Linked DNA regions of Stegostoma tigrinum. The protein of the gene in region 3 purifies or fractionates together with the protein of the main gene of each other region. This does not show direct contact. Links are inferred from orthologs where the notes say so. Each region holds a gene or a part of one and is shown on either strand. Other genes may lie near its edges. The genes, in order: map2k1, dcaf7, map3k1 and axin1.

Region 1 (7,114 bases), on a different chromosome or scaffold from region 3:
CACTGAGACAAGCAGAGTTGATTTTGCACACAGCAGTAGCAGCATCATGGGCCAAATGATGTGCGCCCATGCCGTAACCAGTTTTTTAATTTCATTTTTGCTATTGTGTTATTACTGGGTTTCACAATGATTCAATGTTTACAGCCACAAATTAAAGCTACTTGACATTCTGCTTCTTCCAAGTTAAATGATTAGTATCAAATGGAAGAGCGTTTCATTATTCTATGGACTACATTTCCTCTAGTTGCAACCACAGCTGCTTCCAAACAGGCCAATCCCAGGAATTTGTAATCTCCCATACTGCTTTTCCAGATTGCTTGTCACATTTTTGACCATGTGCTGGAATTACTAGGTGGTAACTGCATCTCAAACAACAGCTACTAGAAAACATAAGCTGCCACCCTGAACATTCATGGTCCATTCCAAAAGTTGGGCCTCGTTTGCAACAGGGTAATGGACTTAGAACACACAACCCCTGCAGTGTGGAAACAGGCCATTTGCCCAACAAATCCACACCACCTCTCCAAACAGCATCCCATCCAGGCCCATTCTCCTAGCCCTGCATTTCCCACGTCCAACTCACCCAACATAAACATCCCTGGGCACTATGGGCAATTTAGCATGGCCAAAGCGCCTATCCTGCAGATCTTTGGAATGTGGGAGGAAACCAGAGGGAACCCACGCAGATACAGGGAGAACGTGCAAACTCTACACAGACAGTTGCCCGAGGCTGGAATTGAACCTGGGTCACTGGCACTGTGAGGCAGCAGTACTAACCACTGAGCAACTGTGCCGCTTTGCACTTAGATAATGATTTCCATAAATCAGGACTTCCCAGACTGGATTAAAGCCAATAAAAGTAATTCTTGATGTGCCATCCCTATTACATTGTAGGAAGCACAGCAGCAAATTTTTGCACAGGAGATCCCACAAACAGATCTATGATGGTTAAGTACTAGCCCCAGGGTACTGATCAGATTCTCCCTGCTCTTCTTCAAACCAAGCCACATGATCTTTTGTATCCACTCGAGGTGATCACATTGACTCGGTTTAACAGCTAGTTTGAACTTTGACACCCATGACTGTACAGCACTCCCTCAATGATGAACTGTTTGAAAGCAAACTTCATCCCCTATTCTCCTGACTCAGTAAGTCAATGGGCCGTAACAGATAAGCTCAATCTCAGTGGAGACTAAGAGGGGGCTGCAGTGTCATCTGCTCAGACTGGAGTTTTGGAGCCTAAAGGGGCAGTCCAGCCCCAAAAAATGAAAATGTAACTACAGCTGGAAACTCCATTGGCCAGGCTGCCATCCGTTAATGTTCAGTGCGGGCACAACACCCCATTACCAAATTATTGTAACCAGTCTCAAGTTAGTCACATCCTCATTCAAGATAAAACCTGAAATTGAGGCCAGCATTCCCAACAGTACTGAGGGAGTGCTTCACTGTCAGACAGACCACCTTTCAGACTAGACAAGAGACTGCGACACAAAGGTAAAATATCAGAAATACATGGTTATTCTCTGCTGCCCTGCAATCAGGCATGCTTTTGTTATTTATATTAGCATACGACTGAAAATTAAAAATGCCAAAGATTTGTCCAATTCTCACAACATCATTGACTACAACACTAACATGAAAATACACATTAAAATTTATATAGAAGTCCAGGGATATAAATTCTAGGTCACTATATTACTCATCTACATGTTATTCCTGCCGACTTGAACATTTTGAAATCCCCATGTTCACATACAATGCAAAGTCTACCTAAAGTTGTCGCATCTTAACAACACTTCCTAGAGGTGGTGTGCTGCCTCCACAGGAACGAAGTCGTAATTGCAGTGTGATGTTTACATGGGATCATTTACAAAGTAAACTGCCCAAGGGAGTTTATATTATAGAAAAGAATAGAATCCATTATTTATACTCAAACCCCTAAACCACATCTCCTTTAAGATGATATTTGGTTCTGACCCCCTGCCTCCACCCTTCTGAAGGATATCAACTAAATGGTTTCAAAAGCTCACAGGAGGATCAGATCGTTCCCTAAACACTCTGCCCACAAGTATGCTCAACAGTATATTTATCTTCGGGGAATGGCGGAGGTTGACTGAACTAGGCTGTCTCAACGTGTGTAAATATCGTGGCAGGCAACAAAAGCTCCTTCAAATCAAATTATGTGCCCTTTCTCTCTGAAAGAACCCAGGCCCACACCCTGCGGGTCCCATGTTAAACCTGCTCTGAAACTGGAGAAACCCACTGCCTAGATATTTACAACCCGCCGTCCTAAAGAGAAACACTATTCTCTTCCTCAGTCACCCGCTCAGGACAATGCGAGGAATCCGCGTTACTGCTGCTGTTCCCGGGATAATGAGAGATGGAGAGGAATTCTCTTACTCTGCGGAAGTGGTCCCATTCAGAGCCGAGCCATCGGGACTCGGGTGTAGCTGGATCGGTCCCGGCTTCTTCTTGGGCATGTTGTGGCCAGAGGGAGCGGCGCTGGCTTTATACACACACACACGTGTGTGCTTTGTGTCTGTCCAAGTGAGAGCTGCTCCTTCACTCTGCCGCCGCTCTGTCCGTTTTGTTGCTACTTTACAAATTCAGTTCCGCCTTTTCCCGGCGAGGCTGCTCGCGAGAAACGTCAAACGCTGCGAGCTCTCGTTTCCTGAGGATCTAAAACAACCCCCCGCCCTCAGCACAGGCTCCCCCCCTCTCCCAAAGAGCCCGGTGCCCTCGCACTGTGCCCGCTCTCAGGGGCGGAGGTAACAATGTAACAAGCTGCAGGCGCCTGATACTCTTCACCGAACTCTGCCCGGTGATACTTGCCAACCTCTCAGGGAACACATTTTTCCCTGTCTGTAAAATCGTCAATCCCAACCTGGGTCTGCGGAAATGCGTCACCGATATATCTACACGCAAAAAAAATGGCATGCTATTTAAATGTGAGGTGCATGCTGCTCGGTCAGTCCTGGACAGAGAGAAATCTTTCAGGCAGAGGCAGCCTTCAACGAAGAGAATTTCCTCCTAACTCCATAGACCGACTTTAGTGCAGGAGCAATAGAGTCAGTTCCTAGAGGAAACTGTCAAAATTAGAAACTACACGCCCAATTATAATTGGAGAATATAAAGAGTCATTTGAGGAAAAGCAAATGGATATATAAAACTTGGGTATTTAGAAGTGATTATTTTATAACGTGGTTTTAACTAGGTCTCAACAAAAGTGCTTTATGTGTTATTAAATAATCTATGTGTGACTAAACTTTGTTTTCTATTATAAAGTTTTCTTTACGTTTAGAATGAAAATTACGGGGTGGTGTGTCTTTTTCAGTGTGATAGGTTTACATAAGCATTCCCATTATTAAAATGGACATAGGGATAACAGTTTATACACTACAGACTGAGTTATAGTCACACAGCACCTTTCCACAACATCAGAATGTCACCGAGTTCTTTACTCAGTGATTTACTTTTTGAAGGCTTTTCATGATTATGGGGTAGATAATTGCCTTCTTCAGCTATAAACTCCACTTCCCCTTCATTCCATGTGGAAGTGAAGTAAGATGTTCTAAAGCAACAGTCTGCACATATTTTCTAATTATCTACTTTTGCCGATGTTTATGGTCACTATCGAATTTTCCCTTTTAAAAATTTTGTTGATATTTCACTGACTGGGTCACAGTGTAATTGCTTAGTTTAGCCTTTAGGTGGCTTTGTAGGTCACATTTTTGAAATATTTCTTCGAATCCGATCCTTAGTCTCTTGTACAGACATGTTAAAGTTTTGTTTCATTCTTTGTAATAGTTAAATTTGCATTCATCTAACTACTTGTTTCATGTCCATTGACTCAATGCTTTTGGCATTTATTAGGCCTTGATGTCTGTCAAATTATGGTCCCACGTCCCTTAGTGAGTGCCCCACATAAATACATAATCTTTCCGTTCCCTCAGAGATAGTAAGAACTGTAGGTGCTGGTGACACAGTGTGGAGCAACAGGAACACAGCAGGCCAGGCAGCATCAGAGGTGCAGGAAAGCAGAAAACCCTGAAGAAGGTCCTGAAGTGAAAGATCAGCTTTCCTGCTCCTCTGATGCTGCCTGGCCTGCTGTGTTATCTTTCTGTTCCCTCTTAGCATATACCTTCAATTGAGCTCCATCTATCATCAGCCACTCCCCAAGTCCCTCCAAATAACATTCAAACCCACAATTATCACCTAAATGAAGGCAAAATACTGCAGATGCAAGAAATCTGAAACAACCACAGAGAATGCTCAAGAAACTCAGCAGGTCTAGCAACATCTATGGAGAGAGAAAGTGTTAATGTTTCGAGCATGGTATAACTGTTCTTTAAAAAGTTTTTTCTGTTTCTCTCTCCACAGAAGCTGCCAAACCTGCTGAGTTTCCACAGCACAATTACAACTTTCTGATACTAGCAACCAATGGACTTTGATGTACAATTTCTTGTCAGCAACATGATGGAGTAACATTCTTAAAGGCCAAGTCAGCATTTATTGGCAAGCCCTCATTTCCCCAAAGTGGAGGAAGGGTTGGCAGTGGAGCATCACCTTCACGGATTGTTGCATGGTAGGACTGAATTGCTATTCACTGCTTTCACATGGGACTGGAATCACACATAAACCAGAATGTCAAGTTCTTTGCCAAAACATCTTGGTTTTGAGACAGTTTCATGGCCACTTTTACAGATGTTAGTTTTTATTTCTATTTTAAATTCCATAATTCGTACTTTTCATCTGTTTACTACACTTTGGCAGCATTATCCAGAAGACATAGTGATGGTTTTCTGATGTGCACTGAAAATATTCAATTCTGTGTCACCATGACTTCTCTCAACTCTTCACGTGTCACTAAGTTATCAGACTGTTTGTTCAAAATCCAGGATAAGTGGAGCAGAATTTTTTTCCCAATTAAAACTGGGAAGACTGAAGTTATGATCTTCAATCCCAATCAAAAATGTAACTCTCCATTTTGCAATCTAATAAGGGAAGGACATTTTAAAAGAGTGGGAGCATTGAGGAGCTGCCAGCCCTGAATACAACTTAGATTTTCAACCGGGCACTTGATGAAAAAAATCACCTGCTCTACGTAGAATATTAACTAAATTTTTTTAAAGCTCGCAATTCATTTTCATTATTAATGAAGGAAAAATGTAACAGAGTTCCAGGCATTGCACCACATTGCACCACTCCTACCACATTCTTTATATCATGGCTCAATGCGTTATACCACTACATCCAGTGGCAACCCTTGCATCCACGCAATTAAATACAGTGTGGACACAGGCTGAAATTCTGTTTGAGTTATCCAAGTAATATAAGAATATATTGTAGCAATATTGGAAACAAGGAAGTAATTATAAGACTGTAATCTTATTGAGAAATATAGTTGTGGTTTCTGACATGGACCAAACCCCCAGTGGAAGATTAAATCACTCCATGTAACAACTTACTCTGGCTTTGCGTAGATCACTAATGAGGCTACATTTAGAGTACTGTGTGCACTGAGTACTGGAGAAAGTTCAGACAATAATGGAAAAGACTATTATAGAACTTGAACCCTGGTGTAATGGGGAATATTCACAGAACAGCAGAGAAATGCATATGCAGGTGGAGCCATCTTCAAGTCTTTAGATTCTGTGAGGAACAGATGAAGTAGATGCAAGGAGATTATTTAGTTTGTGAATTGAAGAAAACAGCTTAAAAATTCACACTAAAGTGTAATTTTTTTATCCAGATTGAATTATGCCACTTCAGAAAATATCCATCAAAAGTTGGTTGCCTCATTATTTGTTTAGAAAAGAATTTATAGCTGTAAGGTCAAAAGCAAAGTGATGCAAATGAAATGTTCCACAGGGATTGATAGAACCTGTTCTGCTGGGGCTCAGGGGTCAAGAATGTATGACAATGGTGCAGGAGCAGGCCATTCAGCCTTTGGGGTCTGTCTGTTGTTCACTAAATGTTTGGTTACATCTTCCTGCACTATTCTAAATTCTCTTCAGTTCCTTGGTATCCAAACCCTATTAATTGCCGAAAGATTGTAAGAGGAGCTGAATATTGGGAATGTAAAGATATTTTGGTATTCCATATGATTACATTTAAGAATCTGGACATTTATCAGAAATTTTCATTTGCAAGGGGTTTGAAGTGTGATTCTGCAGGAAACAAGCAGCAAAGATTTACATTGACTTAATATTCCCTTGTGTGGAGAGCAGCAATGTAACCGAGGCAGGAAATTTGTACTCTGTGTATGCATGTACCAAAGAAAGTGGCAAATTGAGACTGATTTTTAAATCCTGTCACTGGATTTTAACACCTGGGACCTTTCATGGACAAAAATAGTTTTTCAAAAATTAAAACTCTCTCTTAAGATGACCACATTGAAGACCTGACCAGGTTGACACAAACTTCATGAAACCATAAACTAACAAGACTCCATCTTAACTGAAATTAACATCTCATTAAAATGGTGTTATTCAGATCAGCATCTGCTGTATAATTTACACCTTTCTGGAAATTTCATACATTGGATGAAATTTACTTGTAGATTTTCCAGGGATGTGATCCCATTGTTTTGAGGAGAACAATAAAATAGACACAGGGATACAAAAATGAGCTTTATTTCAAGCAAACTACATTTGGGGCAGAGAAGAGAGTGCGAATTTGGATTGAAAATAGCAGAACTGGTAGGTCTACTGTGTCAAATCACATCTCTTAGCCTCTCACAAAGCAGCAGGTGGTGACATAACAAATTAAAGAAACATCTATTCACCAAAGAACTCAAGGACATCTACAAATTTCACTACTGCTAAAGATACACGACATCAATTAAGTGACTGTGATAATAAAGTGTGAGGCTGGATGAACACAGCAGGCCAAGCAGCATCTCAGGAGCACAAAAGCTGACTTTTCGGGCCGAGACCCTTCATCAGAGAGGGGGATGGGGAGAGGGAACTGGAATAAATAGGGAGAGAGGGGGAGGCGGACCGAAGATGGAGAGAAAAGAAGATAGGTAGAGAGGAGAGTATAGGTGAGGAGGTAGGGAGGGGATAGGTCAGTCCAGGGAAGACAGACAGGTCAAGGAGGCAGGATGCGGTGG
Region 2 (6,882 bases), on a different chromosome or scaffold from region 3:
TGATCTCGCTGAACCTTCTCTGCGGCTGTGACACTTCATTCTACTATCCTGATGCACTTTGTATGATGTGATCTGCCTGTATAGCATGCAAACTAACACTTTTCACTGTATCAGAGTACGTGACAACTACAAATCAATATTTTCACAAACAAACAAATAGGGACTACAACCTTACTACAAGGCAAGATAATCTGTACCTGTTTAACTCTCACACATTCATCCAAGCATAAAGCAGATAGCTTGACATAAATATTAAGGATGGAAAAAAAATAGACAGGGAAAGCAATTTCTGTAGAAGTCCAGACGACAAGGATGTAGCATTATTTCTCTTAGCTCTTTTGTTTATTGCACTGATAACTCAACGATCAACTAAATTTCTTCTAAGCAGTGGGGGAATTCCTCCCAATTCACAACTCGATTCAATCCTTCTGACACTGGGATGAGATTCTATACCCAAAATCCCAGAACATGGTCAATTTTTTTAACATACAAACCCAGAGCAAGAGGACTGTAATGTCCAGAAAAGAGAGCAGTCTTATTCATTTCCAAACACAAGCAACTTACAGCACACTCCATACGGAGCAGTAAGAAAAAGCTGATGGGAAACCCTGTCTGCTGTCTCTTCCTTCGCTGAATAAGATTATGAGATTACAAGAAGAATACCAATGACTGATTGGTTGAGCACAGCTAATGTTACTCAGCGTATGAGTCAAACTAAAGTCTTTTTGGTCTCTGATTTGCTACTTGAGCTTTAGAACAATGCTACACCAGTGATTACATTCATACAAAAACATCTCCTAAAAATTCACAAACATTTTATCCATAAAACACATGAACAATATAAATTTGCTCACACAGCTTGTGTGTTTGGTTGCAGAAGTTTTGTCACCTTGCCAGGTAACATCATCGGCTTGCCTCCAGTGAAGCACTGGTACTCCGTCCTGCTTGTTATTTGTATGCCTCAGTTTGCTGGGGTGGTTGGCATTACTTCTGATTCTGTTTTCAGTGGTGTGTACATCAGATCCAGTTCTATGTGTTTGGTGATGGAGTTCTGGTTGGAATGCCAGGCCTCAACGAACTCCCTGCCATGCCTCTGTTTGACTTGTGCTATTATGGATGTGTTGCCCCAGTCGAATTCGTGCTGTTCTTTGTCAGTGTGTATTGAGGCCAGTGAGAATTGGTCAATTCTCTTGGTAGCTAGTTGGTGCTCATGTATCCTTATTGTCAGTTTTCTTCTAGTTTGGCTGATGTAAATGTTTTTCACAGTCCTTGTGTGGTATTTTGTGGATTACAATAGTTTTATTGGTTGTGGGTATGGGATACTTTACATTCGTCAGTGTATGTCGCAGGGTGGTTGTTGGTTTGTGGGCTACCCTGATACCTAGGAGTCTGAGCAGTCTTGTGGTAATTTTGGATATGTCTTTGCTGTACATCTGGCCGTGTTGTGTTACCAACAGGAACGACTAATTTTCTCAAAACACTTGGGCAAAGGGCGGCACAAATTCAACTGGGACAACACATCCGTAATAGCACAAGCCAAACAGAGACATGCCAGGGGATTCCTGGAGACCTGGCATTCCAAACACACTGAACTGGACCTGATATACAAACCACTGAAACACAAAGTTGGAAGTAATGCCAACCAAAGATGTCACAGTCCAAAGATGTGCAGGCTACGTGGATTGGCCATGTTAAATTGCCTGTAGCGTTCAGGGGTGTGAGTGTTATAGGAAGATGGGTCTGGGTGGGTGCTCTAAGGGCCTGTTTCCACTCTGTAGAGAATCTAATCTAACCGAGGCACATAAACAACAAGTGGTTCAGAACACCGACGCTTCATTGGAGATGCACTGACAATGTTATCTAGCAGGGTGACAAAACATCTGCAACCAAACACACCGGCTTGGCAAGTAAGCCTACACCCCTCATCCACAACCCGAGCTACAACTCTCCTCAAAAACTTTAAATACGTTAATGCTCTCCAGACTGTACCAGTAAGCTTCAAGACCTGAAAGCCTCTTGTGTCTTTACTGGTTTCACTTCAGACAAATCAGGGCATAAAATAACAAAGCACTAATCATGCATCATGACCAACAACGCAACTGTGGGGAAAACCAAGAAGGTGCTACATTATGGAGAATATTCACTTCTCAAACTAAACTGAAGTTCAACCTGCCTATACAACAACTACCCCCATTACCAAAAGATTAATCAACTGCCAACCTGGCTCACTGCTCACAGGCTATCAAGTACAGGGGAAAAAAATACTGCCATACTTATCCCAATAGCTCACAATGTTGCGTACTATACTTCTCCCAAGCCATTTCCTCCACTACCACTTTATTGTCCACTCCACCGTACTCTCCCTCAACTCTTCACCCCTAAATCGTGCACTCTCATCTCTCCCTAATTTACTTTCATTACTTTCTCTTCCTAAACCCCTCATTCCCCACCCACCTTTTCCTACATCACCCCAATTCCCAGAACCAATCCCTTCTCTCCCTAATCACCCCTCTTCCCCTACTCCCGCCATCCCCAAATCCCCAGACAGGCCTCACTCTGCGGCATCTCCTTACCCTCCAGACCCGTAGATAGTCTCCGGAGGTGGCGAGCAGGTCGGGGTAGACGCCCTTGGTGTCGGGGATCCACATGATCTTGGTGGTGGGATACGGATGGTCGAAGGTGTTGCGAGCGATGAACTCGGAGCTCTCCTCGTCCAGGCCCACGATCTGCACCTTGTTGTTGTACTCCTCGACGAAGGAGCCGAGCGCCAGGCGGAACCGCTTGTCGGGCCGCACGCTCCAGTTCATGGCGTACACGGTCCATGGCGCCTCGTACTTATAAATCTCCTTCCTCTTGCCGTGCATGCTCATCTTGGGATGGCGATGTCAGGCCGTGCGCTCGGAGCCCAGCGCGGCCCAGCCTCGCTTGCTCACTCTCACTCTCCCCGTCGCCCTGCTGCCCTGGGCCCGGGCCCAACAACAATAAACCGCTCAAAGTCACAACGGAAACCGACTGCTGACTGACAGCCTCTTTCACCAATCACAGCCCGTCCTTGTCCGAACGACCGTTCGAATAACCAGTCCAGTATAAAGACGGGGGCCGACTTTTGATATCTTGGCTTTGATTGGTAAAAATGTTAAAGCGCCGAATGAGTGACATAGAATCTACCCAATCGAAACCAGCCAATGAGGCGGGCGCTGACCCCGTCCTTGATTGACAGCTGTGCGGACAAAAGAATTCTGGGAACCTGATAGGCGGTTTTTTTTGTCCGTTGCTGGGTGAGTTTTGAACATCAAACACGACCTTCAGCTTGATTGACAGTGGTTTCACCAATCAGAGTGAGTATGAGAGGCGCAGGCCCAGTGGCTGATTAGATAATTAGCGGGCAGTTATACATTGGGACCAAAGATTCGCGCGCCCTACACGCTCTGATGGGCAACGAAGAAAGCCAATCATAGGGGAGGCGGGCTTTCCGTGTCCCGAGACGGTATTGAATGACAGCCGTGCGGACCAATCGAAAGCAGGTTCCCGGCTTGATGCACTGCGGCCCTCCCCCATCACCCTCACACCCACAGTTGGTGGATGGTCATGATACAATGTCCAAATTCCCGCCCTAACCCACTCCGGAAGTTTGTGGAGAGCAAACCGTGAGTGAGATTCCCCAGAGGTCATTCTGGGTCAGATGGTGGTTATTCAAACTGGGACCCCCACCGTTACACCACCCTCCCCACACATGCCCATCCAGGCCTTGACCGTCTCAATCTATCAAGTCAGCTCCCTCTCTCAACCTTTCTCCATTATGTTCCTAACTTGTAGATGGTTCACATGGATGATCTCTGTAATGGTAGGTTTAATGTACAATGAACGGCTGAGGATCCTGGGATTGTACTCATTAGCGTTTAGAAGGTTGAGGGGAGATCTAATAGAAACGTACAAGATAATGTATGGTTTAGAAGGGGTGGAATTTAGGAAGTTGTTTCCGTTAGGCAGGGAGACTAGGACCCGTGGGCACAGCCTTAAAATTAGATGGGGTAAATTTAAAATGGAAATGAGACATTTCTTCAGCCAGAGAGTGGTGGGCCTGTGGAATTCATTACCACGGAGCACAGTGGAGGCCAGGACATTGAATTCTTCACGGCAGACGTTGATAAATTCTTGAGCTCACAAGGAATCAAGAGGTACGGGGAGAGTGCAGGGAAGTGGAGTTGAAATGCCCATCAGCCATGATTAAATAGCGGAGTGGACTCGATGGGCTGAATGGCCTTACTTCCGCTCCTATGTCTTATGTTCATATGGTGGACTGGTTCTGAGGAGTAGAGGAGAACCGACTGCACGATTCGCGACACTTATATTCATTGAATCTATAAGGCTAGTCCAGTCAGATTTCTGGGCAATGGCAATGGGAAAATCTCTGTTGGAAATGGTCATTGCCAGTCATACAAGTGACATAAACGTTAGCTGTCACCTATCATCCAAACCTGAATGAAAACACAGAATGTTTTAGTATCTAAGGTGTTCAACAGTGCAAAACAGCCCACTTCTGATTTTTGGGGAGAGATGACTGTCGATGAAGACGCTGGGGTTAGAACACTACCTCATAGAAATTCTACAGCACTTTCCTTGGGCTGAGGATAAATGGCCAACAAGCACAATCACCTTCCTTTGTGCTAGTAATGACTCCAAGCAGTGGAAAGATTTTTCTAGTTCCAACTGATTTTAATTTTACTGACAATTTCACTCACCTCACCTCACTTCTGAAATTGAAACTTTTTTTCCTTATGTTTCACACAAATCTGTAACGAGGTGGGACAAACAACCAAAACTCAACATTTATTAACAGGTTAGCGTTGGATAAGTACTTACAGAAACAATCAATTTCAATCAGTTTGTGGATGACCAAGAGAAGATTGATGGAATAATAATTGCAAGATTCAATTTACATTGTTTTTTGCAGACAGAAATTACTGGACAATTTTCTTCCTTGTCAGATAGTGCCAGTATTGTACCTGTTTTGGAACAGCTTGACCAGTCTTCACAAATCTGGAACATGACTCTTTATTACTACAGTCAGGTTGTTGTAAGATCCAATAATCTTTGCTGCATCCAGTCAATTAAAATGTTTCTTGATTTCACGTGAAGTGAATTAAATTGGCTGACAACTGGTATTTATAATATTGGGGATCTCAGAGAAAGGCGAGATGAATTGTCCACTCAGCACTGGTGGCTGATGATAGCAAATTCTTCAACCTGTCTTTTGCTCTCACTTGCAGGCCTCAATCATAGCTTAGAAGGTTTTTGGAACTTTGTTTTAGAACATAGAACAGCAGAGGAACAGGCCCTTTGGCTCACAATGTCCATGCTGACCATGATGCTATTCAAATCCCACCTGATTGTACATGATCAATTTCCCTCAATTCCCTGCATGTTCCTGTGGCTAAATCTCTCTTAAATGTTGCTATCATATCACCTTCCCTAGCATCTCTTCTTGTTAAGTAAACAAAGTTGCTGGAAAAGCTCAGTAGCACCCGTGAAGGAAAAAACAGAGTTAATGTTTCTGGTCCAGTGACCCTTCCTCAGAACGCAGCTCTCAATGTCTCAGAAATCAGGGTCACCGGATCAGAGATGCTAACTCTGTGTTTTTTCCTTCACAGATGCTGCCAGAGCTTTTCCAGCAACTTGGTTTTTGTTCCTGATTTACAGCATCCATAGTTCTTTCGGTTTTTTATATCTTCTTGTTAGTTCTGTCATTGTCTATCACTGTGCATAACCTAGAAACATTAGGGACTGCAGATACTGGAAGCCAGAGTCAATAGATGTGAATCTGGAAAGGCACAGCAGCTCAGACAGGATGCTGCCTGACTTGCTCTGCTTTTCCAACTTCACTTTTATTCATTATTCATAACCTGATGTGGCAGGTAGATCCTGGTTCATGGAGATACATCAGGAACCAATAACCATCACCCAGGACTGTAGAAGACCCACTGCTCTTGGGTTCGGTGTGGCCAGTCAATTCAGTTTGGTTGTTGGGAACAAGCCAGGAGCAATTCTAGCACGGTGATTTCTGTTCAGCCAGTGATGGTAGCACTTCAAAGCTTGGTTACGATCCACTATTATCCACAATAAAAGCAGACAGTTGTAGTTTCTACAATGTATGGTTCTCCAGAACAAGCGAAGCTGTCTCAATACAGCATCTCCCTGTGTTGGTTGAGGCTTGGCGGTGGAGTGCCTGCCCAGTGGGGAGCATGTAGATGGATGGCACCGAACAGGGAATATGCACCAGATGAGATAGCACTTGGAGATTAGAACAGTTCTAACCCGCACAGATGTGGGCTTCTGGCATCAGATGACTTTGACATAAGGAATGTGGCAGAGTTTCTGGGCAGTTTTGCCCAGAACATGGTCACAGAAGACCCAGCATCAGGAAAGGAGAGGTGTGAGAGATAGGGAGCTGGATCATGGGGATTTAAGACAAGTCAATAAGAAAGGGCCACATGGATTATTGTGAGACTCTCAGACTGGTGATGGAGCAAATGTATCAGGGGAATTAATATGAGGCTAACTGGCTGGTGTGGGAAAGAGAGGCACTTTTTCATGCACCACGTCAGCAATTCTAGGACAGAAAGAAGATGCACCAATCAAACATATTGTATCTGAACTGGGATGAGACCCACGTCCTGGCAGAAAGGATGATAGCAAAAGTTTTGAAGTAGTAAGATGGTAGGGTGAGTGATCCAGAAGAACTATAAGTGGCCTTATTGTAAGCAGAAAAAGGCAGGATATTACAGGAAAGACTTAAGGCAAAAAATTGATGGCTTGGGAATAAATAATAAAACAGGAATCAGATGAGGGTGTAGCAGTAACAGCACTGGACTATTAATCCTT
Region 3 (6,857 bases):
ATACTTATTTTCAGTGTTCAGTAATGGGAAAATGGCTTGGAAACTGATTTTGTAATGAAACTATTTTCCAGAAAACAAAAGCAACTACATCAGAATTGTATTGTTAAGCATGCTAACTATAGAACAATAGTTCCAAATTTGTGGGACCAATGAAAGCCTTGCTGTAGAGATGACAAAATTACTAAAATATCATCTCCACTTATATGCAAAGCAGGTAACAAGAAAAATAAAACAAAACAAACTTTTGCTTACATTTCTGCAAGAGTTTAATGACTTTGAAAAGTCAAATCTATGCAAGGGCAATTCTTATATTCCGGTCACCTCACAATCCACATTTAAGAGTTCTCTCTTGCCATCCAACAAAAACATTACTGGAGAAAAGAAATGCTCCAGAAAGTAGTTGTTTTGAAAACTTTCTATTGATTGATAAATAAAAGCCAAGATTTGTGAAACCAGCAATGAGAAGAAGTCAAAGCAAATTCTATTCAAATTTGCTGCTCCATGTACAGCTCATGCAAGGGCCATTAAGTGTTCAGATACACTGTATTCTTGCTTCACTAAAAAGTTGATAAAAAAGGTGACAGCGATTGCTTCACTGCTAGAAAACTGTCAATAAATTATTCGCCTGCGGACATTAGAAATAAAACCATACTTCCCTTCTACAAATTCACGTTAACTTCAAACAGACGAATGTTTACACTTCCTCGCTTTGAATTTTCCCGGAAAGTGGCGACATTACAAAAAACAATTTCTAAATGTTTTAACATAGTTACAAAGTAAAGTCGCCAAAGCCCCAGGGGGCCACAGGACTGTTTTGAGAGAGAGAGAGAGAGAGAGACACACACATTGAACTGGCGATGGGTTAATCCCAGGGTCACTACGTCTCAGGCAAAGGGCGAAATTGAGATTGTAGGTACTTAATAGTAATCGAACCTGTGTTGTTAGCGTTACTGTATTGCAAACTAGCCAACTGAGCTAACCGATGCCCAACTATTCATGCAGCACCCACATTTACGAATATTTTATACTACAGTTTCCTCTACATATCACCTTTGGGACCCTCCTTAAACTATCTACGAGTAAAATACTACATATTCGCCCCGCCCCCTCCCCCGCGCCTATTTGACGTAGTCATGTCCCAAAAGCAGCTAGACTCCAATTCAGATTCAACACAAAATGAAAGTCGCTCGAGTTTGCAGGTTTGAAACGCAGTTACTGACACTAATCTAGTAATACTCCACAAAATTAATACCCCCACGACATACAACTTAACTAACATTCCCACTTACACGTAGGTTAAGTAATTACAGCATACAAAAATTAATACAAGTACAACACATTATTAATCCACTCGTACACAAAACTTTGACCTAAAAATGAAGTACCTTATTTCAAACGCACAAGACGGTAGAGGAATCTGTCATTTAATCTGCGCTTGGAGGTGCAAATTCATGGCTAGTGCGTAAAGCCTAAAATGACAGGAAATCCTAGACGCGTGTCTTCGTTCACGTGCTATGAACATCCTACTACATTGCTTAAATTCACGGGCGAAACATCAAACTTGCAACCTGAATCCCAAGTACGGTCAGTTTTTTGTAGAACCGGGGGGGGGGGGAGACGTCTTGTTTTTGTCCCATTATGAAAGTTTACGAAACAGGGCATGCAAGAACCTAACGAATATCATTACCCCCTTAAACATTCACAATACCATAAAATGCTACAAAATCCTGTATTACATACACCGCGCTAAATCCGCTCCAAGTATACCACTATCGCCAACTTTCAATGAAACATGACTCAACCGGACGGACATGCACATCTAGTGGAGTTAAGAACAACGGCTGGTTCTTCAAAGATCAGACAAGATCATATGACAACACAACCGACAACATATTCAAAATATTCCGGAAACTGGGCTTGGCAAGGAAAGACTCTTGAGCAGACAGATCTCCAACAAAACACCAAAATCTTTAGTGTAACGGGGAAATCTCGTGTAGCTGCGGTTACATGTACCTACAGGACACACTGTTTATTTACATTCAGCCTCAATGTCTGACGCTGCAGCAGATATTCCGCCAGCAGCGGGAACAGTGGGACCAATCCCAGTCACTAACCCTTCATTCACCTTTCTTTCCCATCCCGTTCCAGCTCCCCCACCAATACACCCCCCCCCCCACAAAAATCCCCCTTCCCCTCATGTTACGCTTCTACTCATTACAGTTAAACTGTTATCACAAACAATGAGGGAAATTACCTGGCAGTGCCTTCCTTACCTGAACGGAGGGCCTATATCCATAAGAATGGCCCCGGCCGAGCCCCCATATCCATATCCTGCTGGTCCGGCAGTGCCGCCGGATTGCGCGGGCTGCTCCGCTCCGGCATGGGGCAGACACAGGTCCGAACTCGGCTCCTTCTCCACCGAGGCGTCGAAGTCGACACTCTTGACTTTACGGAGGTGCTTTCTGCATAACGCGAGCTGCTTCTGGGCCGAGGCCGGCTCTTCACTCGGCTCCGAGCTCTTGTTGCCGCGGCTCCCAGTCCCGGTGTCCCCGGTAAACACCGTCCGGCTCCCGGTGCCCGCCGTCGCCATTTTGTCCTGTCTCAGTTCATGGGCCTCCTCCGTCGCCCCCCGTCCTTCCCTCTCTGCCCCAATGGGGGGGGATTGAGAGAGAGATGAGCGGCCTCTTCCTCCGTACAGGAGATACAGCCGGGCGGAGCTCAGCCCCTCACCACACCGACTCCCTCCTCCCCACACACAGCCGCTCAGTCAATCAGCAGCCGCCCCGGAGCCGCACTCACATCCTCCTCCTCCTCGGTCCCGCTCCGCCCCCTCACTTCTCCGCCGTCGTTAAAGTGGATTGCCGCCGGCCCAGCTCAGGGTGGTGAATAACATCTCTCTCCGGTTGTAGGTAGGTATGTACGGGAGAAGGCAAGCAGTGTTGCCGGCTGCTACACAGTACTGACACCAAACTTGGCCGTTTCTTTTCCTCACTCTCAAATGTGCTGCTGCAGCAGCGCGAGGAGGAGCGCGCGAGCCGCCGCTGCTCCCCGTGGGTCCGGCCCTATTCCTTATATGGACAAACTTCCCTCGAGATAGCCCCATCTCCTCTCCTCATGCACAGCTCGGCCGGACGCTGAAATCGATCGTGGAAAGTCTCCTCCTGCATGTCGCTCAATCACTTCATTCACTTCTGGGGGTCGGGTCGCGGGCGGGCGGGCGGGTCGGTCGGCTGGACAACAATTGGGTCTCACCCACTGAACAGAAATCTCCAACGCAAAATACACCAAACGCTGGCGATGACTGAGTTAATACATGTTTTCTGGTGGCGTGTCTGTCGATTTAAAATGTCATAATATTGAAATGTCCTAATTTTTAATATGCAAAATGTTTTTAGGATGTGATACACCCCAGCAGAAACAATGGTGGAAGCACAATCTTTACTAACGTTTCAAAAGATTTCCGTCCTAAAACACATTTCCCTTTGTTCTTTCTTCCTCCCGTTCCTTAATTCTGAACATGCGTAAAACCCGGTGTGTATGTTTCTAATACTGATTAAAGTTACCAACCTGAAAAGTTAAGACCTCTCCGTGGACTAGAACTTCCAGAATATTATTTTTATGTTACAGCGTGTTGCTTGAGATACAGTTTGTTTTCCATTTATTAAATTTAGATTGTGTGGTTCTGATTTGCAGAGATCCAAGATGAAATGCGATATGAAATAATTCAAAACAAATCGTATAGCAAAACTACTGAGGTATGGAACTAAGCGGATAACTCCATCAGAGAGGCTTATGGACTCTGTGTCTGCTTGTATGATGCTAAGTTTCTTTTTGTATTTACTCGTACACTGTTTCTGCCTTTGCTTGCCCCAATGGTGAAGTCTCGGAAAGATTAACAGCCAAATGAACTTCTCCCCATTGCGTAAGAGACCTAGAATGGAACACGCAGCCAGCGTTTTCTCCCTTAGAAGCAGGACACTTCATTGAGCCGCTAGGCCTCCATACACATTTGAAGTAAAATTCTTGAAAAGATTGGAGGTAATGTTCACCTTTGTTGCAAAGAAAGTAGGAACTGCAGATGCTGGAGAATGTGAGACAACAAGATGTATTTTTCTGAAAAAGAAGGGTCTAGCCCTGAAACGTCAGCTTTCCTGCTCCCCTGATGCTGCTTGGCTTGCTGTGTTGATCCAGCTCTACACTTTGTAGTCTCGATGTTTAGGTTTTGGTTAGGTGGCTTATCTGTTGGTTGTGGAGATCATCCCATCTGACATATTGCCACACAGACAGCAAAAGTGAAAATTCTTCTAGGATTAAATCCCCTAAGAGTTAAGGGCAGAGTCATTGGAAATAATTATTAGACAAGATATTTGTGAAGTAATTTTTGTTATAAAGCAAGTGAATAATTTGAATACATGCCAGAAGGATTTAATTTTGAAGTTTGCAGACAATACTAAAAATATGATATGTATCTCCCTTTCTACAAGGCAAAATGAGTTGCAATTGATTGATTTATTGTCACATGTACAAAAGTGTAGTGAAAAGCTTTGTCTAGGACGAGTACAGGCAGATCATAGTAAGTAAGGATGTACAGATCAAAGGTTGTTTAAAAAGACTTAGAGGCATACTGATTACGTTGCACAGGGTATGCACTAGGCAAGAACAATGTTAGCAAGATCAGCATTATTTGAGGCTAGAGAGTCCATTCATCAGTCTAATAATAGCCGGGAAGAAACTGTTCCTGACCCTGCTGGTGTGTGTGTGTACCAAAGACGATTACAGATAGAATTTAATATCAGTTTAAATGTGCAGTGCTACATTTGGTTTAAGAAACAATGGTAGTTATTATCTCATAGGAATTAGGCTTGCCTTGGAGCAAAGAAATGGATTTGGGGCACAAGGTATTGGACAAGAAAGACAGCACTTATATTGCAAAAATTACAAAAGAAAAACTTGGAATTTTAGATGTTGAATCAGAAGAGATATAGAATATAAAAGCTGAAGGCAATCATCACCCATTTTAAAACATTGAGATCCCTTTTAGTATACTTTGTGCACTATTAAATTTCACAGAATAGAACTGTCAAAAGCTTCATTGAAGATACAAGGCATAATACCAGAATGTTACATGGCATGAAGAAATACAAATGTAAAGGAAGATTAGAAGTACTGAAAACTTTTTAAATAAAATTATCCAGAACACACAGAAATGTGATAGAAGTTTGCTAAAATGTGAAATGAATAGATAGAATACAGGGAAGTAGCCTTTCCCAATTGTTCAGTAGTTTAGAATGTGATAAATATAAAAGATTTAACAGAACACAAAATAAGTTTCTTTAACAAAAACAGAAGTTACTGGAAAAGCTCAGCAGGTCTGGCAGCGTCAGTGAAGAGGAAACAGAGTTAACATTTCAAGCCTGGTGACTCTTCTTCAGAACTCATGGTAGCTAGGAAAATTGTATCAGAGATAATAGGAACTACAGATGCTGGCGAATCCGAGATACCAAGGTGTGGAGCTGGATGAACACAGCAGGCCAAGCAGCATCTTAGGAGCAGGAAAGCTGACGTTTCGGAAGGGTCTAGGCCTGAAACGTCAGCTTTCCTGCTCCTAAGATGCTGCTTGGTCTGCTGTGTTCATCCAGCTTCACACTTTATCTGGTAGCTAGGAAAATGTTGCAGAAGATAGGGTGGGAGGAGGTGGAAAAGAGTAAATGATAGGTGGGGATAATAGAGCCCAAAGAGAGAGAAACAATTTGGACTGACAAAGGAGTGGATAACGATCTGGCTGGGAGGGTGAATAACTGTTAATTTTCAGAAGAAGGGTCTAGGCCCGAAACGTCAGCTTTCCTGATCCTATGATGCAGCTTGGCCTGCTGTGTTCATCCCGCCCTGCGCCTGGTTATCCCAGATTCTCCAGCATCTGCAGTTCCTACTATCTCTTTTAATGAAGATTATTAGTGGCTAACAATAGATAGTGCGGAATAAGGCCTGGTTAGTGGGTTGTGGGCTAGGACATGGGAGAGTTCAGTCCTTAAAATAATTGAACTTGATGTTGAGCCCAGAAGGCTGCAGGGTCCCTAAGCAGAAAATGAGGTGTTGTTGTGCTGGGCTTTGCTGGAGCACTGCAGCAAGCCTGAAACAGAGATGTTGGTAAGGGAGCAGGGTGGTGTGTTAAAGTGGCAGGCAACCTCCCCAGCACCATTCTCCACAGGGCTCTCAAGCGGGTCCGATCCATCTCCCGCACTTTCGCCCTCATACCCTCTTTTCCCGCAACAGCGATAGGGCTCCCCTTGTCCTTACCTACCATTCCACCAGCATCCTCATGCAGAAGATCATCAGCTGCCATTCTGCCACCTCCAGCAAGTCCCCCTCCCTTGTCTGCCCTTCACAGGGACTGTTCCCTCTGGGACAACGTGGTCCACTCTTCCTTCACCCCCAACACCACCTCCCGACTCCATGGCACCTTCCCCTGCAATCACCCAAGATGTAACACCTGCCGATTTACCTCCTCCCTCCTCAGTATCCAAAGGCCCAAACATACCATCCAGGTGAAACAGCACATTACCTGCACTGCTCACAATCTAGTCTACTGCATTCACTGCTCACAATGTGGTCTCTACACTGGGGAAACAAAACATAGACTGGGTGGCTGCTTTACAGAACATCTTTGTTCTGCCTGCAAAAATGACACTGAACTTCCAGTTCCCTGGCCAACGCCTCTGTCTCAGGCAAGCTGCAGTGTTCCAATTAATCTCAGCACAAACTGGAAGAACAACACTTCATTTTCCACTTAGAGACCCTGCAGCCCTTTGGACTCAATTTTGAGTTCAATAATTTTAGAGCCTGAACTCTCCCATTTC
Region 4 (7,815 bases), on a different chromosome or scaffold from region 3:
ACCAGCTGAACACATTCCTGCTCAGTGGACTTTGCCATCTAGAACCAGGCAACCACCCACAACCATCCAGGCACCCCTCTGATACACTGATAGTGCTCTTTGGAAGCACAGACTTGCATTGCAAGATGCACCAGATACTGGCCCTGAAAGGTGCAGGAGGGACATTTTGAGCACAGGGCTAGGCCCCTTACTGGCAGTCTGGACCAGGCTGCATTGTAGGAATGCTTGCTGTCTCTCTTAGTGATCACTTACTGCCTACTGCCATGCAAGTAGCATCCATGCCTTGCCTTGCCATGCCAATTCATGCAGTCACCCAACAAGCAGGTTGCCTTGCTGTTAATGCAGTCCTCAGCCCAGGGGGAGCCACATCCTGCTGTGTGGCAGTGTGCCACATCAATCTCATAGCTGCACCATGTGCCTGCAGCTTAGCTGGCAAACTGATTGAGTGTGCAACGAGCAGACAGACATGAATCCAACTCTGAGAGGAGCAGTGCTCACAAGAGGCATTTGTTAGGCTGGCCCAGTACACTGAGTCAAACGCAGCCTCCCATTCAAGTCCAGGAGGTTGACCATGGCCAGGAGTCTGATCAGGGGCTGGGGGCCGTTCTCGGGGAGTGGACACAGTCAGTAATGCCAGGTTCAGTCAGTAGATCTAAAACGGTCGGGGAGATTTACAGGCCCCAGTCAGGGATCTGGGCACATCTTCTGTGTGGCTGTTGGATAATGTGGGTTGAGGGGGGAGGCTTGTGGCCAGTTATTTGTATTCCATTCATAGAATGTAAGGGGGAGGCGGGACAAGTGTGGGTGTAGCCATGGCAACGAGCCTCGGCAACAGATTCATTGGGACTAAGGGCTGCAAACTCTTGTCAAGGGTCTACTAACAATAGTGAAAGTGGGGGGAAGTGCTGGGTGGTGGCAGATGAATTTGCAAGGGGTGGAGGAGACAGTATAGTATTGCTGGGAAGGGGGTTATGCGGAGGGACAGGGTGGTTGGGTTTGTCCATGGACAGGAGCACTCTGGCTTTAAGGGAATCACACCTGGCATGGTCACTATATGCCAGGGGCTGGGTGGGTAGGTTAGGCAGTTGTAGCTGCATTTAGGTGGGTTGGTTTGGGCTTTGGGAAAGTGTGGAGCTAGTAGGATTCTCTATTGGGAAGGAACTGTGGATGTTTGGGATGACACAGTAGGCCTGAAGCTTGTGGCTATGGAATGAAAGAGCAAAGGAGAAATATGGCACAGGAACAGGCTCTTCGGCCCTCCAAGCATGTGCCGGTTATCATGCCCTAACTAAATTTTAAAAAACTTTTGCCCTTATTTGGTCCATATCCCACTGTTCCCTGTTCATGTAACCATCCAGATGCTGCTTAAATGTTGCCAATGTGCCCGCTTCTACTACCTCCTCTGGCAGTGCATTCCAGGCTCCGACCACACTCTGCATGAAAAACTTCACTCACGCATCTCCCTTAAACTTTCCCCTTCTCATCTTGAACCTGTGCCCCCTTGTAATTGCAACTTCAACCCTGGAAAAAAGCCTCCACCCTATCTTTACCTCTCATTATTTTGTAGGCTTCTATCAAATCTCCTCTCAGCTGCCGTCTTTCTTGCGAATTCTTCTATTCCATGCACAGGCCAATGAAGGCAAGCATGCCATATGACTTCTTAATCAATTTGGCCACTTATGGGCATCTTTTTTGGGAACTGTGGACTTACATGCCCAGATCCATCTGTATGTTAACGTTCCTAGGTGTTCTGCCATTTACAGTATAATTCACACCTAAATTTGATCCTCCAAAATGCATCAACTCGCATTTGTTTGGATTAAACTCCATCTGCCTTTTTTGTGCCCAACTTGCCAATCTATCTATACCCTGTTGTATCCTTTTACAATCGTTGGCACTATCAGAAACTCCAGCAATCTTCATGTCATCTATAAATGATTTGACCTGCAAGGGAGGGGTCAGAGGCAATCAGTGATCAAATGGTTTATAAAGGGGTATACATTGGCCTCGAAAGGTAAAGCAGACAAGTTGCTTCCAGCCAGGCTAGCTGACAGCATTGAGCCTCTCTGTACATTACACCACCCTCACACAGCCACTGGTGGGCAACTCATTGAGCTGTACACCTTTGCACACAGAGGGCTTCCCTCACTTCCAGATGCATTGGGCTCTCAGTACAGACCTCTCTCCAGGAGCCTCATCTGTGGCCATGAGTCATTGCTGGTGTGAAGGTGCATTACACAGATGGATTCGCAAACACATGGAAGGATGTTAATAATATCTGAAAGTTTCATGGACAATGTACTATTTACAGAAAAGCTGTCTTCACTGGGGCAGCCAAAGTGCCCTCAGGATATTTTCTTCCTGCTCTCTGTCTCACTGTAACTCAGTGCGCTCCCTGACTCAGCAGTGGAGCCCATTGTCCCTAGAATTTTGGTGCAGCAAACTTCACAATGCTTCAGCCCGGATGGCCAGGCACGCGATAGAATTCTTCCCAGAGGCAAGGTGACCCTCCTCGGCTTATACCTCCAAGGGTTGGAGGGACAGGCTGTCTGGAGAGAGAGAGCCCCTTCAGGGCCCTGAGTGTTATCTGCCTCAAGGCCAGAATACAGGTCCACCACCATCTGGGTGCTCCTTGGCCACCGGTCTATCCCCTTGTGAAGACGGGAACCTGGACTGGGGTAAAACCCCACACAAACAACAGCCCCCTCCCCTGCTCGCCCAGGATCACGTTCCTGTTTACTGACACCACAGGGACGTCTCCTGCTGAAAGCTGAGCAAGTGCCAAGTCTCAGGCCCACTGCTGAGTGCCAGATGCAGAGCTGTTGTGGCTAGGTGCTTACCAGACAGTGAAGCCACACACTGTGTGCCTATAGTTCCCGCCAGGGGATTGGTATCTGAGATGCTGAGGTCTTCAGGATGCTTCCTCTGAGGCCTCCATACTCCCATCCCCAGAGATTTAGGAGGGTGATTCTTCCACTACCAGCCATTGGGAGGTTTGCAGAGCCTGTAAGACAAAAGGAAGAAAAGACCAATGGTTGGAAGAGGTGTGCAATGACTGAGAGTGACAGTGTGCCATTGAGACAGTGCCATGCCATGTCATTCCTACTTCATTTGTTGGGACATGACTGTGTTGCATCCCTGCAGGAGGCAGTCCTGGTTGTCTCCTGTGAGGGTCAGGATTTTCCTCCCATACAGATTGGGACATGATATCAGGCACTGTCCCCCCGCCTGTGGAATAGGCTCTACCTGCCCCGTTGTGGGCAGCTTTCCCGTGTAATGCAAGGAGAAAGGTGGGAAGTGGTGGGGCAAATAAGTGAGGTAACAATGGGTATCCCAGCTAATAGTGCAGGCAAAAGGTGTGCTCTGAAAGAATGAGGAGGCAGTGTGGACGGTGAGTGGGCAAAGCTGGTAAAGGAATGTGTTGCAGGCAGCGGCGAGTGTGGTGGGGTATGAACCTTGGCAAAAGGAGCCTGCAGTGGGACTGATAGATCGTGTGTGAGGTGGCAGAGTGTGGAGGCGTGATGCAAAGAAGGTCATTGACCTTCTTTCTACATTCCTGGCCATTCCTCCTCACCCTGGAGCGGGCACTGGCATGGGTGGTGACCTCAGACCAAGTTGGCAGTGTTTGATGGTGCTCCTTCCTTTAGCGATCCTCTGGGAAGAGGGCACTTCTTGCTTCACCATCCTATTCACCAGGACTTTGAGGTCCTTATTGGACAATCAAGGCGCCAACTTCCCCTTCCCTGCCATGTTCCGACTCTGTCTGTCACTGGGCAGGGCTGCTTTGGAATGTCAAAACTGCCTTTTACAGATGGCAAGGAAGCAAAAGGTACTAGCCTCCACTGGGTGGTGAGTTTCCTGGGAATGGTGCATGGTAAGATGGGCAGAAATTAGAAAGCGATGCCTCAGGGGTTGGGCGGTCAATTAATGAGGCAGGTTTGGTAAGCTAGGATGAAAACCCATTAAAGGGTTAAAAAACCAGTTAAAGTAAACTCATGGCTGAAAAACCACGAAAAAAAAACTTGATGCAACTCAGACTTGGCCAAAAAAAATGTACAATAAATCTGGGATAAAAAGTTGATCTCAGTAATGATGGTCATGGAACTACCAGACTGTCATGAAAACCCATCTAGTTCATTAGTACCCTTCAAGGAAGGAAGTCACTGATCCTTTCCCGTTCTGGCCTACTCCAGGAAGGCAGAAATTCTTAACATCTCTCTAAGACAGTGTAAAAGCCACTCGATTGTATCATAACTGCTGCAGGAATTAAGTCACAAAGGATGTACCTACACCTCACAGACCACAGGGCTTTAAGCAATGGCTCATCATCACATTCTCATCGCCAGTTAGGGACGGACAATAAATACCAATGATTCCCAAAATCTGACAGTGAATAAAAAACACCGCACAGTTGGAGCCGCCACTATATAAAGGTGCGTTAACTATTATTTGACCACCTCCCCAACAGAAGCCCTGATCTCCCTACAACCCCTTTCCTGTTTCTTGCTAAATTTGCATCATTTATTTCCTGTAAGTATGTTCTTCCATCCTGAGCATTTACAAAGATTCCTGAAGAGAAAATGGACCAGTTTTGGCTCAATCCACCCCTCTGGTACCAACCACAATGATCTTGGGACCGATGCTTCCTTCACTTGTTCCACTCTATCAGAAGGACATTAAATTCTTTCAAATTAATTTTGTCGTATTTTCTCTGAGTATCTGCAAGCATTATGGGTCAGATCTGTGATAAACCTTGGCCAACACAGACCATCATCTTTGAACAACAAACAGTGTCGAGACTTTTCCATTGGAGAGAAATCTACTTGGGAATAATTTCCTCAAAAACAATTTCCTCTTTTACTGTTTGAATCAAAAGGCGTTGTGGCAAGATTAAACCATTGTGTCATCAACTTCAATGAAGCATAAAATTTTCCGCTTAAAATTAAAACAAGGCCAAAAGAAACCTGGACATTGCTGAGCTGGAAGTGAGTGTTATAAAACAAAGGTTCATTCATGCGCATTTAATGTGTATATTAATGCTTTAATTCTAAGATTCAAACTAGCTAGTCAAGTAAACTTACTAATAGTGGCAAGTTATTCTGTACTATTTTGGATTCAGACCCCATATGAAGTGAATTATTAAATTCAAAGCGTAATATTGTATGTGCCTGCAGAATTGAAATCAAGGATCACATTTCTACCCACCACTTGTTCACCAGGGAACAGATACCTGTTTTAAAATATCGCAGGGTTTACATACAGGAGCTCTCCAATTCTTGTGAATTTTCCCCATTGCCTAGTAAAAAGTTAGTGGAAGGCTGACAGCATTCAAGACAAAATCACAGAATAATCATATCATAGAATGGTTACAGCACTGAAGGAGACCACGTGGCCAATGCAGGGATATTAGGATGTGGTTTCATGCTGTTCAGAATCCAGATTTCAACAAAGAAGCCTTGGCAAAATTAGAAAGGATTTAATGGAATAAAAGGAGCTGGAGACTGATTCCTAGTGCCAGAAATCTGAGGTAACTGGAGAATAGAATGTGGCTTTAATTTTAATGTCTCCCACATACCCCATTCTCCTTGGGCGTAGGAGAGTTTGGGGAGTTGAAAGTCAACCTTTTCTAAAATGGATTTATCAGTAGTGGCAGGGGTAATGTTATAGGGGAGGTGGCTATTGTGTTTTGTCTGATGATCAGTAAGTCAGCATAACTCCGAAACAGATATTCATAGATCTATATTGTCAATTTGATAATTATGCAAACAGGTTAAGAAAAACTTGCAAGATTAATATTTTAAACTTCAATGTAACTTTGGAGGTTTGACACCTCTTCCTGATCGAGTGATTGTTACCCTGTCTGGAGAGGTGCAAATTGCTATCTGTTCAACTTGTTTGACATCTTGATTACCTTGCTGCCAGTTGCCATCACTCAACATCACCAGACAATGACCAATTGGAGTGTTTTTCCTTATTCCTTTTGTGCCTGACTGGTATGTTGTATGGAGCTGGCTTATGTTCTGTCGCAGCGTAGCACCATGATCAGTGATGACTTCATGTGATTTGGGCTGGTGGCACATTTTACAAGCCATTGCTAGCAGGTCTTCGTATTTCTATCTCACATCTTCCGCCCGGTGTGCACCTTTGGTAGTTCTCTACCTGTGTACTCGTGGTGTATCTTTTCCATTCTCCTCTGTCTTTGTCTCACATCTTGGAATGGTTAGAAAATTGGTTGTTGGGCAAAGTTGTTCATATTTTTCTTTCAAGCATAAATTGTGCTGGGGATGGCAATCTCTATCAGTGTTAATATGAAAACGCATCAGCACAATGTGAAAATTTTGATTTGAATGTTAACAATTTATCAGCATTGATTTGGTAGTATATACTAACACTTTGCTAGGCCACTTGAGCATGGATAATGGGGTGGTGATGTGATGTGGGTCACTCCCCACTTTGTGCATGTTTTGAAATGGTTTACCAGTGAGCTGTGGTCAATTGTCAGATTCTGTCTAGTCCATGATGCTGAATAAACTGAAAATAAAACTCATCCTGTAGATCAAGAGGAACATCTTGGTCTTTGTGTGTGTTTGATAACCTGCTGAGCCCATCAGATGTAATCATCCTGGTACCCGGCTTCTTTTTCACTTTGAAGAGATTCCCTTGCACATTGACATCTAGAAACTGTGACCACAGCAGTGCATGCATTAATGGTTCGTGGCAGATCATTTCTAGTGGCTCATGATCTGTTTCAAAGGTGAACTTCCTGCCGAATAACTAGGTATGAAATTGCATTATGTAGAATAGCAGAGCTAATTTCTCACACTCAAATTGGAATCGTTGGCTTGGGCAGGCAACAGGTGCTTAGACGTTTTTGCAAAGCATCCACTTCAAAAATCATGTATTTTTTGGGGTCATACTACTACAGAGGCAAGATTTTAGTGACAGAACTATCTTAAGAAAATCAAAGATGTATTTGTGGTCATTTTAACATTCATAGGGAATGTCCTTCCTGACCTAATCTTTCAGCACAGGCACATTGTCTGAGATGTTGGAAACAAACTGCATCAGGAAGTTCAAAATATTCAGGGTAACATTGCAGGTCCTCTTTATCCTGTAGGGTCAATATTTATTTAAAATCCTTGACATTGTCTAGATCAAGATGGACTCCATGGTGCAGTAAATGCAGCCAAAGATGTTTATCAGCTGATATTGATCTGGAATTTTGTGTTGTTAAATATGTGACATGTTTGTCATGTTACTGCCTTTAGTAGATAAAGCTGTGGTCCTGCTCTGCCTTTGTCTTGCCTACGATTATGATGTCATTAGCATTGCAAACACAATGTCGTACATTTTAATAATCCTTTCTATCCACATGCTGCTGGACCAGGTCTTAGCGAACTAATACACCAAATGGTAATTGGCAGAAAGAGTACCATCCACATAGTGTGTTAAATGTCGTGAGCTGTTGGGATTCTCCTGCTAAATGGACAGAGAAGTATCCAACTGACTTTCAGAAGAATCATACTCCAGAAAATGTAAGTCTTCCAGTGTTGGCATTTTGAATGGACACCATTTAAGTGAATGGTTGAGGTAGCTTGGATCAAGACATAATGTATAGTGACATCTGTTCTTAAAATGTACACAATGGATCTAGCCAGTGTGGTGTTATACCACGCCACTCCAATCTTGTTCAGTCGTACCTGAAACGTCTCTTGAATGTGTGCACTATGTTTCTTTGAAGGATTGGTAAAGAGGTTGCATCTTCCTTAAGAGGCAATACTGTATCACCCTTAAAATTGCTGATCTTCTCAAATT

The links.
Region 1: the proteins of map3k1 (region 3) and map2k1 purify together in Homo sapiens (affinity purification with western blotting; 3 studies listed by BioGRID and IntAct, with this or other methods). This does not show direct contact. The link is inferred for Stegostoma tigrinum from reciprocal best matches to the Homo sapiens genes MAP3K1 and MAP2K1.
Region 2: the proteins of map3k1 (region 3) and dcaf7 purify together in Homo sapiens (affinity purification with mass spectrometry; 3 studies listed by BioGRID and IntAct, with this or other methods). This does not show direct contact. The link is inferred for Stegostoma tigrinum from reciprocal best matches to the Homo sapiens genes MAP3K1 and DCAF7.
Region 4: the proteins of map3k1 (region 3) and axin1 purify together in Homo sapiens (affinity purification with western blotting; 5 studies listed by BioGRID and IntAct, with this or other methods). This does not show direct contact. The link is inferred for Stegostoma tigrinum from reciprocal best matches to the Homo sapiens genes MAP3K1 and AXIN1.

What each region holds. Positions count from the first base shown.
Region 1 is NC_081386.1:34,840,112-34,847,225, forward strand, and holds the start of map2k1 (dual specificity mitogen-activated protein kinase kinase 1), read right to left. Parts: upstream 3,010-7,114; 5' UTR 2,481-3,009; coding exon 2,401-2,480; intron 1-2,400. UniProt on the Homo sapiens protein: Dual specificity protein kinase which acts as an essential component of the MAP kinase signal transduction pathway.
Region 2 is NC_081384.1:38,612,967-38,619,848, reverse strand, and holds the start of dcaf7 (DDB1- and CUL4-associated factor 7), read right to left. Parts: upstream 3,026-6,882; 5' UTR 2,871-3,025; coding exon 2,574-2,870; intron 1-2,573. UniProt on the Homo sapiens protein: Involved in craniofacial development. Acts upstream of the EDN1 pathway and is required for formation of the upper jaw equivalent, the palatoquadrate. The activity required for EDN1 pathway function differs between the first and second arches.
Region 3 is NC_081354.1:124,099,416-124,106,272, forward strand, and holds the start of map3k1 (mitogen-activated protein kinase kinase kinase 1), read right to left. Parts: upstream 3,008-6,857; 5' UTR 2,591-3,007; coding exon 2,274-2,590; intron 1-2,273. UniProt on the Homo sapiens protein: Component of a protein kinase signal transduction cascade. Activates the ERK and JNK kinase pathways by phosphorylation of MAP2K1 and MAP2K4. May phosphorylate the MAPK8/JNK1 kinase.
Region 4 is NC_081376.1:42,034,548-42,042,362, reverse strand, and holds the start of axin1 (axin-1), read right to left. Parts: upstream 3,002-7,815; 5' UTR 2,841-3,001; intron 1-2,840. UniProt on the Homo sapiens protein: Component of the beta-catenin destruction complex required for regulating CTNNB1 levels through phosphorylation and ubiquitination, and modulating Wnt-signaling.